Bombyx mori: one gene and its partner. The protein of the gene in region 1 interacts with the protein of each later gene in a pairwise test. Links are inferred from orthologs where the notes say so. Each region holds a gene or a part of one and is shown in the gene's direction. Other genes may lie near its edges. The genes, in order: 5'-3' exoribonuclease 2 homolog and TAR DNA-binding protein 43.

Region 1 (3,935 bases):
AATTGTAAGTTTGCATGTGTAAATACTATTATCCTGACTACCCCGAAACCGTCTTATATTCCAGTTTGAAGGAAAAATACTTTCGAGTTTTCGTCGTGTGTCAAGATGGAGCTAATATCACTGATGTACTTTAAAGGTCTATGGCTAATATGCAAGTTGTGATGACTCTGGACTCCTGTGACCATTATAGATAAATAAAAAGTTCAATGAATATTTTAAAAGAACCTGAAAACCCAAGTATACTAGCATGGTTTAATTTTTCTGTATTTATACACTTTAGTAGACGCTACACGGCCAGTAATGTTACTCGTTCAATCCTAGATAAGCGTTTAATTAGCAAAATAAAGCAATTTAAATATCTTTGCTCCTCGCATTACCACCAAAAAGTTTTAACCCGCGCTGTGAATGTAAAACATATTTAAAAAGGTCTTAAAAAGGAAAAATGTTTTCTTAGACCATTTTGAATCTGTATTGTGTATTCGTATTTAAAGTGATCAGTAATATTTAACAAGTATTTTACTAATGATTACGCCTTTTGAGCTTCATTAGAAATTACCTACATAGGAACTTTCAAAATTTTGTGAAGCAAAAAAAAACATTTTCAATACACACAGATTCGGTAGATAAAACTAAAACTCTGTTTTGGACAATTACTATTAGTATGCCTTAACATCGGTGGAAAGAATGAACAAAATTCTCTTTTTATTAAGAAGTGCTCTATCAAGGTCATAGAGTTACTATTGTAGGTACTTATTAACTCCATGATCAAGGTTTAATCTTGTTTCCGAACGAAATAGTGTGTTCTTAGTGCTATCCTGCTTTGTTTGTCAGCTTTCTCTCTCTACTTAAAATGGCACCTGCGTCGATTTGTTTGTGTTGAATACGTGACAAATAAAACACAAAAAACATTTAATCACCATCAATAAAAATTAAGACGAGTGTTACATAATGGGAGTTCCAGCGTTCTTCCGCTGGCTCAGCCGAAAATATCCAAGTGTAATAGTGGAATGTGTTGAACAAAAGGTAAATGAAAAATAACCTAAAAATCGTTATTTACAGTTATTTTGAGGGTCTAGCAAAACAAATATACGTGGTGCCTGTATCGAAAATCACTATAAAATAAGTATTTTAACAAGAAAAGCAATAATTACGCAATGTTGTCGGGCTGTTCTTCGCAAGTCGACCTCTAAAACTGCGCCTTTTTTTGTTTAGTTAAAATGCTCACCTTGTATTACAGTAATGGTATTGGTAACTTCCATCTTGTGATTAAGCTCTAAAGAACCAAATGACGCGCATGACTAAAGTTCTGAAGATTGTTTCACAAGATTGTCAACATTTCCATTCCTATTATTCATTTCTCCATTCTAAGAAAATGTCATCGTTCAGAGTTTTAATTATTCACTCACCACCAAGTGGATGCTATTTTACTTAAGACCTTAATCATTCAATGTAATTACAGATGTCTAGTACACATAAACATCTGTCTCGACCCCACTGGTCACATGTTACAGCCAAGACTCAACATGTTGTCCAGCTGTTGCCATTATTTGTTTCGTCTACTTGTCACGTATAAAGTGGTAGAAAATATATAATAAAATTGACGTTTCAGCCAACCGACGTAGATGGCCAGTTAGTATATGTAGATTCCTCCCTCCCTAATCCAAATGGAGTGGAGTTTGACAATTTATACCTGGACATGAATGGTATCATCCATCCATGCACCCATCCCGAGGATAAACCAGCACCAAAAGATGAGGATGAGATGATGGTTGCCATCTTTGAATGCATTGACAGACTTTTTCGTATTGTGAGGCCTAGGAAACTGTTGTATATGGCTATAGATGGAGTGGTATGTATTAATTTATAAAGTTATTATTAAATGTACATAAGCTGGTTAGAATGCATTACAAAATTATAGCATTTATAGTTGTGATTTATATAATTATGTATTTAAAAGGATGACTAATGAATCAAATCCCAGTCATTAATGTCTATTTGTGTTTCATTAGTAAAATAATTAGCTTTATTGGAACTTTGACTATAGATATTATGACCTAAATTCTAAGGATGAGTAAATAGAAATAAAATAAAAATTTGCAATCAAAATAATTTGAATCTTAATTCAAGGCTCCAAGAGCTAAAATGAACCAGCAACGTTCTCGACGTTTCCGTGCGTCCAAAGAAACCCAAGAGAAGATTGAGGAAGTGGCTCGCATCCGTAATGAACTTCAGGCTAAAGGAGCATACTTACCACCAGAGAGGCCTAAGGAAGCTCACTTTGATTCTAATTGTATCACACCGGGGACACCGTTCATGGACAGACTGAGCAAGTGTCTGCATTATTACATACATGACAGGTAGGGATTCTTTACTTATATCCATGCGACTTCTGCCAGCAACTTTGCGTTTTTTATTTACTGCTTCAGGATAACAAGCTAGATCCAATTGGTATTAAGTGGCAACTGGAGTCTGTTAACACAATATTGCCACACAACCTTCAAAATATGAGGTCTAAGACTAATTTTTATAATAATGAATGTCCAAAGTTTGATCCCGAGGGACAGTCATGAAGGTGAAACACTTCACCATGCTGTCGGTGCACCTTGGGTGATTTTTGGCTCATTCAAGGTTAAATTAATATTGTCGAACAAATTTTTTATTAATTTTAACAGACATGCTCTGTCTACTGCCTAAAACACTAGGACTTTAGCCTATTTCAGACGTACACATTGATGAAAAGTACCGCTTAGATAAAAAATCTGCATTGTGATAGGAAGGCTCACAAAATGCTCTGCCACCTATGATGTTGGACAAAATGTGCTTGTGGAGAACTTGTCCTGTATAATTTCAAAATATTGTTAATTTTTTAGATTAAATAATGACCCCGGATGGAAGGGCATTAAGGTTATATTATCTGATGCAAATGTTCCTGGGGAAGGAGAACATAAGATTATGGACTACATTAGGAGACAAAGAGGTTAGTTATCGTTTATTAGTGGAGGTTTCTTTTGTATACAGGATTGAACAAGCTCTCCTGCTGTTCATTGGTTACTGGAGCCCAGACTAGCACACATTATTGCTTTGCAGCAGAAGTACGGTGATTGTACCTAATCATCAGGGCGCACAAGACAATTTAACCGTCAGATTTTGAGTAAACTGTAATGTAATAAACCTCAATTTTACAGTAATAATTGACATTATTAATTAAATTGATATTACTTTATTTTTGAAATGGACAGACTTTTCACAGCCCATTTGATATTGAGTCTGTTTGTTGAGTTATCTCACTACAGATATCTGAACCTTAATGTTCTCACTAACCGTGAGACACTCTGAAAATCTCAATGATAATGTATAAAAGCTGTATCACCGATTGACCCAGAACATTTGGGAGTTATGTGGCAAAATAAACAGAACATAAACCTGTAGGTGATTTAACTCATAACTATTTTGTTTGTTACAATGAAATGTGCATAGTGTATTTTGATGTTTCTATGCTTAAAATTTGAATTAACCTTGAATTAATCCAATAGATGACATACTATTTATCAGACTAACTTTACAACCTAAGAAAACTCTATAATCCCTTCAACAGCGCAACCAGACCACGACCCAAACACTCAGCATGTTTTGTGCGGTGCTGATGCTGATTTAATCATGCTGGGTCTGGCCACTCACGAGCCAAACTTCACTATCATCCGTGAGGAATTCAAGCCTAATAAACCGAGACCCTGTGATGTTTGCGGGCAACTTGGTTAGTAGAAAATCTTCTTTCTAGATCAATTATATATGTATGTAATATATAATATTTAATATACAGGGTGCTCCTAAATAATATAATATAAATAGGTAATGTAAATCAATTTCCATTATTAAGCAAAGAAAGAATATAAGATTTTGGTACATTTCATTACTGATTTATATTATATTAATGT
Region 2 (3,934 bases), on another chromosome or scaffold:
AGATTTGTGTTTTAATAATTTTTTAAAATTTGTTAGAAGTACTTCAAAATTAGTTGGTTAAAATTGGTTAATGCTGCTTTTGTGTCTGTTTGTTGGACTCTCATTAGATACTTAGCTTTCCTTTTTTATTTTAGCTTTACTAGCAATCACGTGTACAGAATGCATCTCGATTGTCGCCAGAGTTACTATTGATGATCGAAGGCTCTGTCACTTTATAGTTCCATTCTGCGAAAAATTAGTTTTGCTAAATGATTTGGCATCTTTGAGATTACGGTGTCATATGCTGCGCTAACCTAACTGATTTGAATGCGAATTCCTCCGACATTTCGAACTCCAACACTCAGACCAACTACTTCTATTTGACTCCATATAGAACTGGCCCGTTCGCATAGGTGAAATCCCATTTTCACGGATCGTTCTGAACCTCTGGATCTGCGGAGGGTCTTCGGTTCTCTCTGTATTTTGTACCGCATGTTCCATGGGGAGTGCTCTGAGGAATTAATTCAGATGATTCCAACATCTCGGGTTTACCATCGCACCGCCCACCAGTGGTGTTCATAGTTCATAGTACCTAGAACCACTGTGTTCATCCACAAAGCGCTTCCAGAGATCTTTTTTGCCATGTACCATCCGGCTTTGGAATGAGCTCCCCTCTATGAACGCTATAACATGTCCTTCTTCAAACGAAGCTTGTGGAGAATATTTAATGGTAGGCAGCGGCTTGGCTCTCCCCTTAGCATTGTTGACGTCCATGAGCGACGGTAACTCTACTCACCATCAGGTAAGCTTGTCTGCCTATCCGGGCAATTAAAAAAAAATCGGACTCTGTGGAATACATTACCTTTGATATAATCCCCCAAAAAGAAATACTAAGTCGTTAAATATAATTTAAATAGAGGTCAAGCTGCTAATCCTGCCCTGAAGTCTGAAGTTATATACCTCCGTATTTTTTAAAATATTTTTTGCCCTTTTTTAAAATTATTTTCAAATTGAATCATTCTTAGGACAGGCAAAGAGGACATGTACAGACTTATGTTGTAACAAAGTCTGCGTATAATAACAATGCAACTGCAATACAAATGCATCGTGTTTTGTGTGAAATCTAAAATACAACTCTTCACTTCGTTTTCAATCTTCGAGTAGGACGCACAGTGTCTAGATTTTTGTATTGCTATGACCAAAAAAAAACAAAGTATGTGAGTGATGTAAAATGTCAATTTTAGAAAGTTGTCTATTACTATACTCCAACTTCTCAATATTGATACTTCCATGCCCTGAAAATCACTTTGATATTTTCTAAATTTATTGTTCAAAACCTTTTGGTTAACATATGTTTTCAACCTGCAAATTGCAATGGGTTCGTAACCCGTAGGTGACGTTTAATTAAATTTTATTTATTTTAGATGAAGTTAAATTATACAATTTTCTAGTAATAAGTATAGTTATTGTGTTAATTTTCATCAGATTTTAACTATATTGTTCATGAAGAATAAATAATGTCTTTCGAGTATTTGCCCGTTGCTGAAGACGAAAATGAAGAACCCATAGAACTGCCTATCGAAGAAGATGGAGCTTTGATGCTATCGACTGTGTCTGCACAGTTTCCAGGTTGCTGCGGATTGAAATATCGACACCCTGAAACGAAAACCATCAGGGGAATTCGACTAAGAGATGGTCGACTATATCCTCCTCCAGAAGGATGGGGAAATTATTTGTATATATGTAGTTTTCCTAAAGAAAATAAACGCAAACTTGGTGAAAATTCCGAGTCCACAATTATGAGACATAAAAGAAATGACACCTTATGTTCGGACCTGATAGTTTTGGGACTCCCTTGGAAAGCCACAGAGCAGACAGTGCGAGAATATTTTGAAAAATTTGGTGAAGTATTAATGGCTCAGCTGAAAAGAGACCCAAAAACGGGAATGTCTAAAGGTTTCGCTTTTATTCGATTTGCATCTTATACATCCCAAATGAGAGTTCTTGCTCAAAGGCACATGATTGATGGGAGGTGGTGTGATGTAAGGATACCAAATTCCAAAGAAGGATCTATACCATCTATGCCTTGTAAAGTTTTTGTTGGCCGCTGTACTGAAGAATTATCTGCCAATGACTTGAGAGAGTATTTTTCTCAATTTGGAGAAGTTACTGATGTGTTCATCCCAAAACCATTTAGGGCATTCAGTTTTATAACATTTCTTGACCCAGAAGTTGCGCAGAGTCTATGTGGGCAAGACCATATAATAAAAGGTGTTTCTGTTAATGTTTCGAATGCATCTCCAAAGCAAAACAAAAGTGGTACAAACCAACGTGCCATGCCTAGTAGAAGTTATGATGAAGGTCATCCACACAATGTGTCTAATAATAATTCTTGGAGCAACCGAAACATGGATATGGTTAATATGCAAGCACTTGGTATGTCTGGTCAACATGGACAAACAGCTGTAGCTGGTGGTGGAGGACAAGCACAAGGTGGCAGTATGCCTATAGGAATGGGAGGACTACCTGTAAATCAAGCTTTAGTAGCAGCAGCTCTTAACCAGGCAGCTGGTTGGGGTCTTATCAACAACATCCCTTCAGGTGCATCAGAACAAGGTGCCTTTGCTGGTCCAGCATCATCGGCACCTCCAGCACCACCAAACTTCCTGTCTTGGATGCAACAAGGTAATTCAGCACAAGGACCCTCTAGTCAGTGGGGACAAAGACATCAGTCCCAAGGCCACTCTGTCTGATCAATATTTCGACAAGCTCACAATAATCTCTGTGATTGTAGCAACATTTTTTAGATAAATAGTACTTGTTTTTCTCTTCAGTAAAAGATGGGTTGTTGTTGGTGGCAAGTGGTTAACCTAAAAATTTGCTAATGATGTTATTTATTTATGGAATTGCTTGTTTTCAATTTTGTTCTTATGAATTTTATCCTAGATAGATAAAATTATGCACCATAACAAAACATAACACTTTACAAGCAGTTTCTGTATAAAAATTATGTAATACTTGTATCATATGTTTTAGATTAAGATTGTTGTTGTGCTTTTATTTGTCATTTCATATTACTACTTAAAAATACTAATAAATATCGACATAACTAATTAGAGCTGAGATGTAATCAACAGATTCCTCAACTTTGAGGTAGATTTTTGTAATTTTTACATTGTCATGTTTAGGGCCGTCCGTCCATAAATGAGATAATGGTAGGTAAAGTAATATAACCATCTAAGTACAAAATTAACAGTAACTTCCCTTAATAAATCTAAGAACAGAATTTACATTAAAATGATGTTTTGAAAAATATTCACATCTTTATGACTATACAATTACAATTTAATTTAAAACACGGCAATTCTGTTCTCTATGACAAATAATATTTATCAGCAAGTTTGGATTTGTTTGAATTCATTCTTACTTTGTACACTAATAGTACCATAGATGTACAGATAATATCATAATTACAATGTAACTTGCAATCACTAATCTGAAATCTCATACCATTTGTAAGAGCTAGCTAGACCTTACATTAGGAAATACAAATGGATATGAAAAAGTTACTGCAAAATTACCTAAATCCTATTATAATTTATAAAAAAAAATTGCTGATTATAAACAAGTCCTATTTTAGAAAATGCAGGTGTTACTTTTATCTCTATCCCATATTTTCAAGGACAATAACAAGAACTCAAACTGTTACATAATTATAATATATAAAAGCCTATAAAAATGTTGAAATTGAATAAATGTCTATTTTTAAATCTATTTGATGCTAATCATACTTAAGAACAGTCACAATCGAGATGAAAATATGTTAAAATGTGGACTATAAAATTTCGTTAAAATTAGCATTCAATTTATATGTACAATGATATAAAATATACACACTTTGGCAAAAAAAAATGTATATAGGATAGATAGTATGATAAATGTTATTTTGAAATTA

What was found.
Region 2: the proteins of 5'-3' exoribonuclease 2 homolog (region 1) and TAR DNA-binding protein 43 interact in binary tests that used the Homo sapiens proteins (3 or more experiments, as listed by UniProt). The link is inferred for Bombyx mori from reciprocal best matches to the Homo sapiens genes XRN2 and TARDBP.

What each region holds. Positions count from the first base shown.
Region 1 is NC_085131.1:902,951-906,885, forward strand, and holds the start of 5'-3' exoribonuclease 2 homolog, read left to right. Parts: upstream 1-827; 5' UTR 828-948; coding exon 949-1,023; intron 1,024-1,609; coding exon 1,610-1,849; intron 1,850-2,127; coding exon 2,128-2,357; intron 2,358-2,870; coding exon 2,871-2,977; intron 2,978-3,595; coding exon 3,596-3,754; intron 3,755-3,935. UniProt on the Homo sapiens protein: Possesses 5'->3' exoribonuclease activity. May promote the termination of transcription by RNA polymerase II.
Region 2 is NC_085116.1:8,097,051-8,100,984, reverse strand, and holds the start of TAR DNA-binding protein 43, read left to right. Parts: upstream 1-1,124; 5' UTR 1,125-1,496; coding exon 1,497-2,732; 3' UTR 2,733-3,934. UniProt on the Homo sapiens protein: RNA-binding protein that is involved in various steps of RNA biogenesis and processing.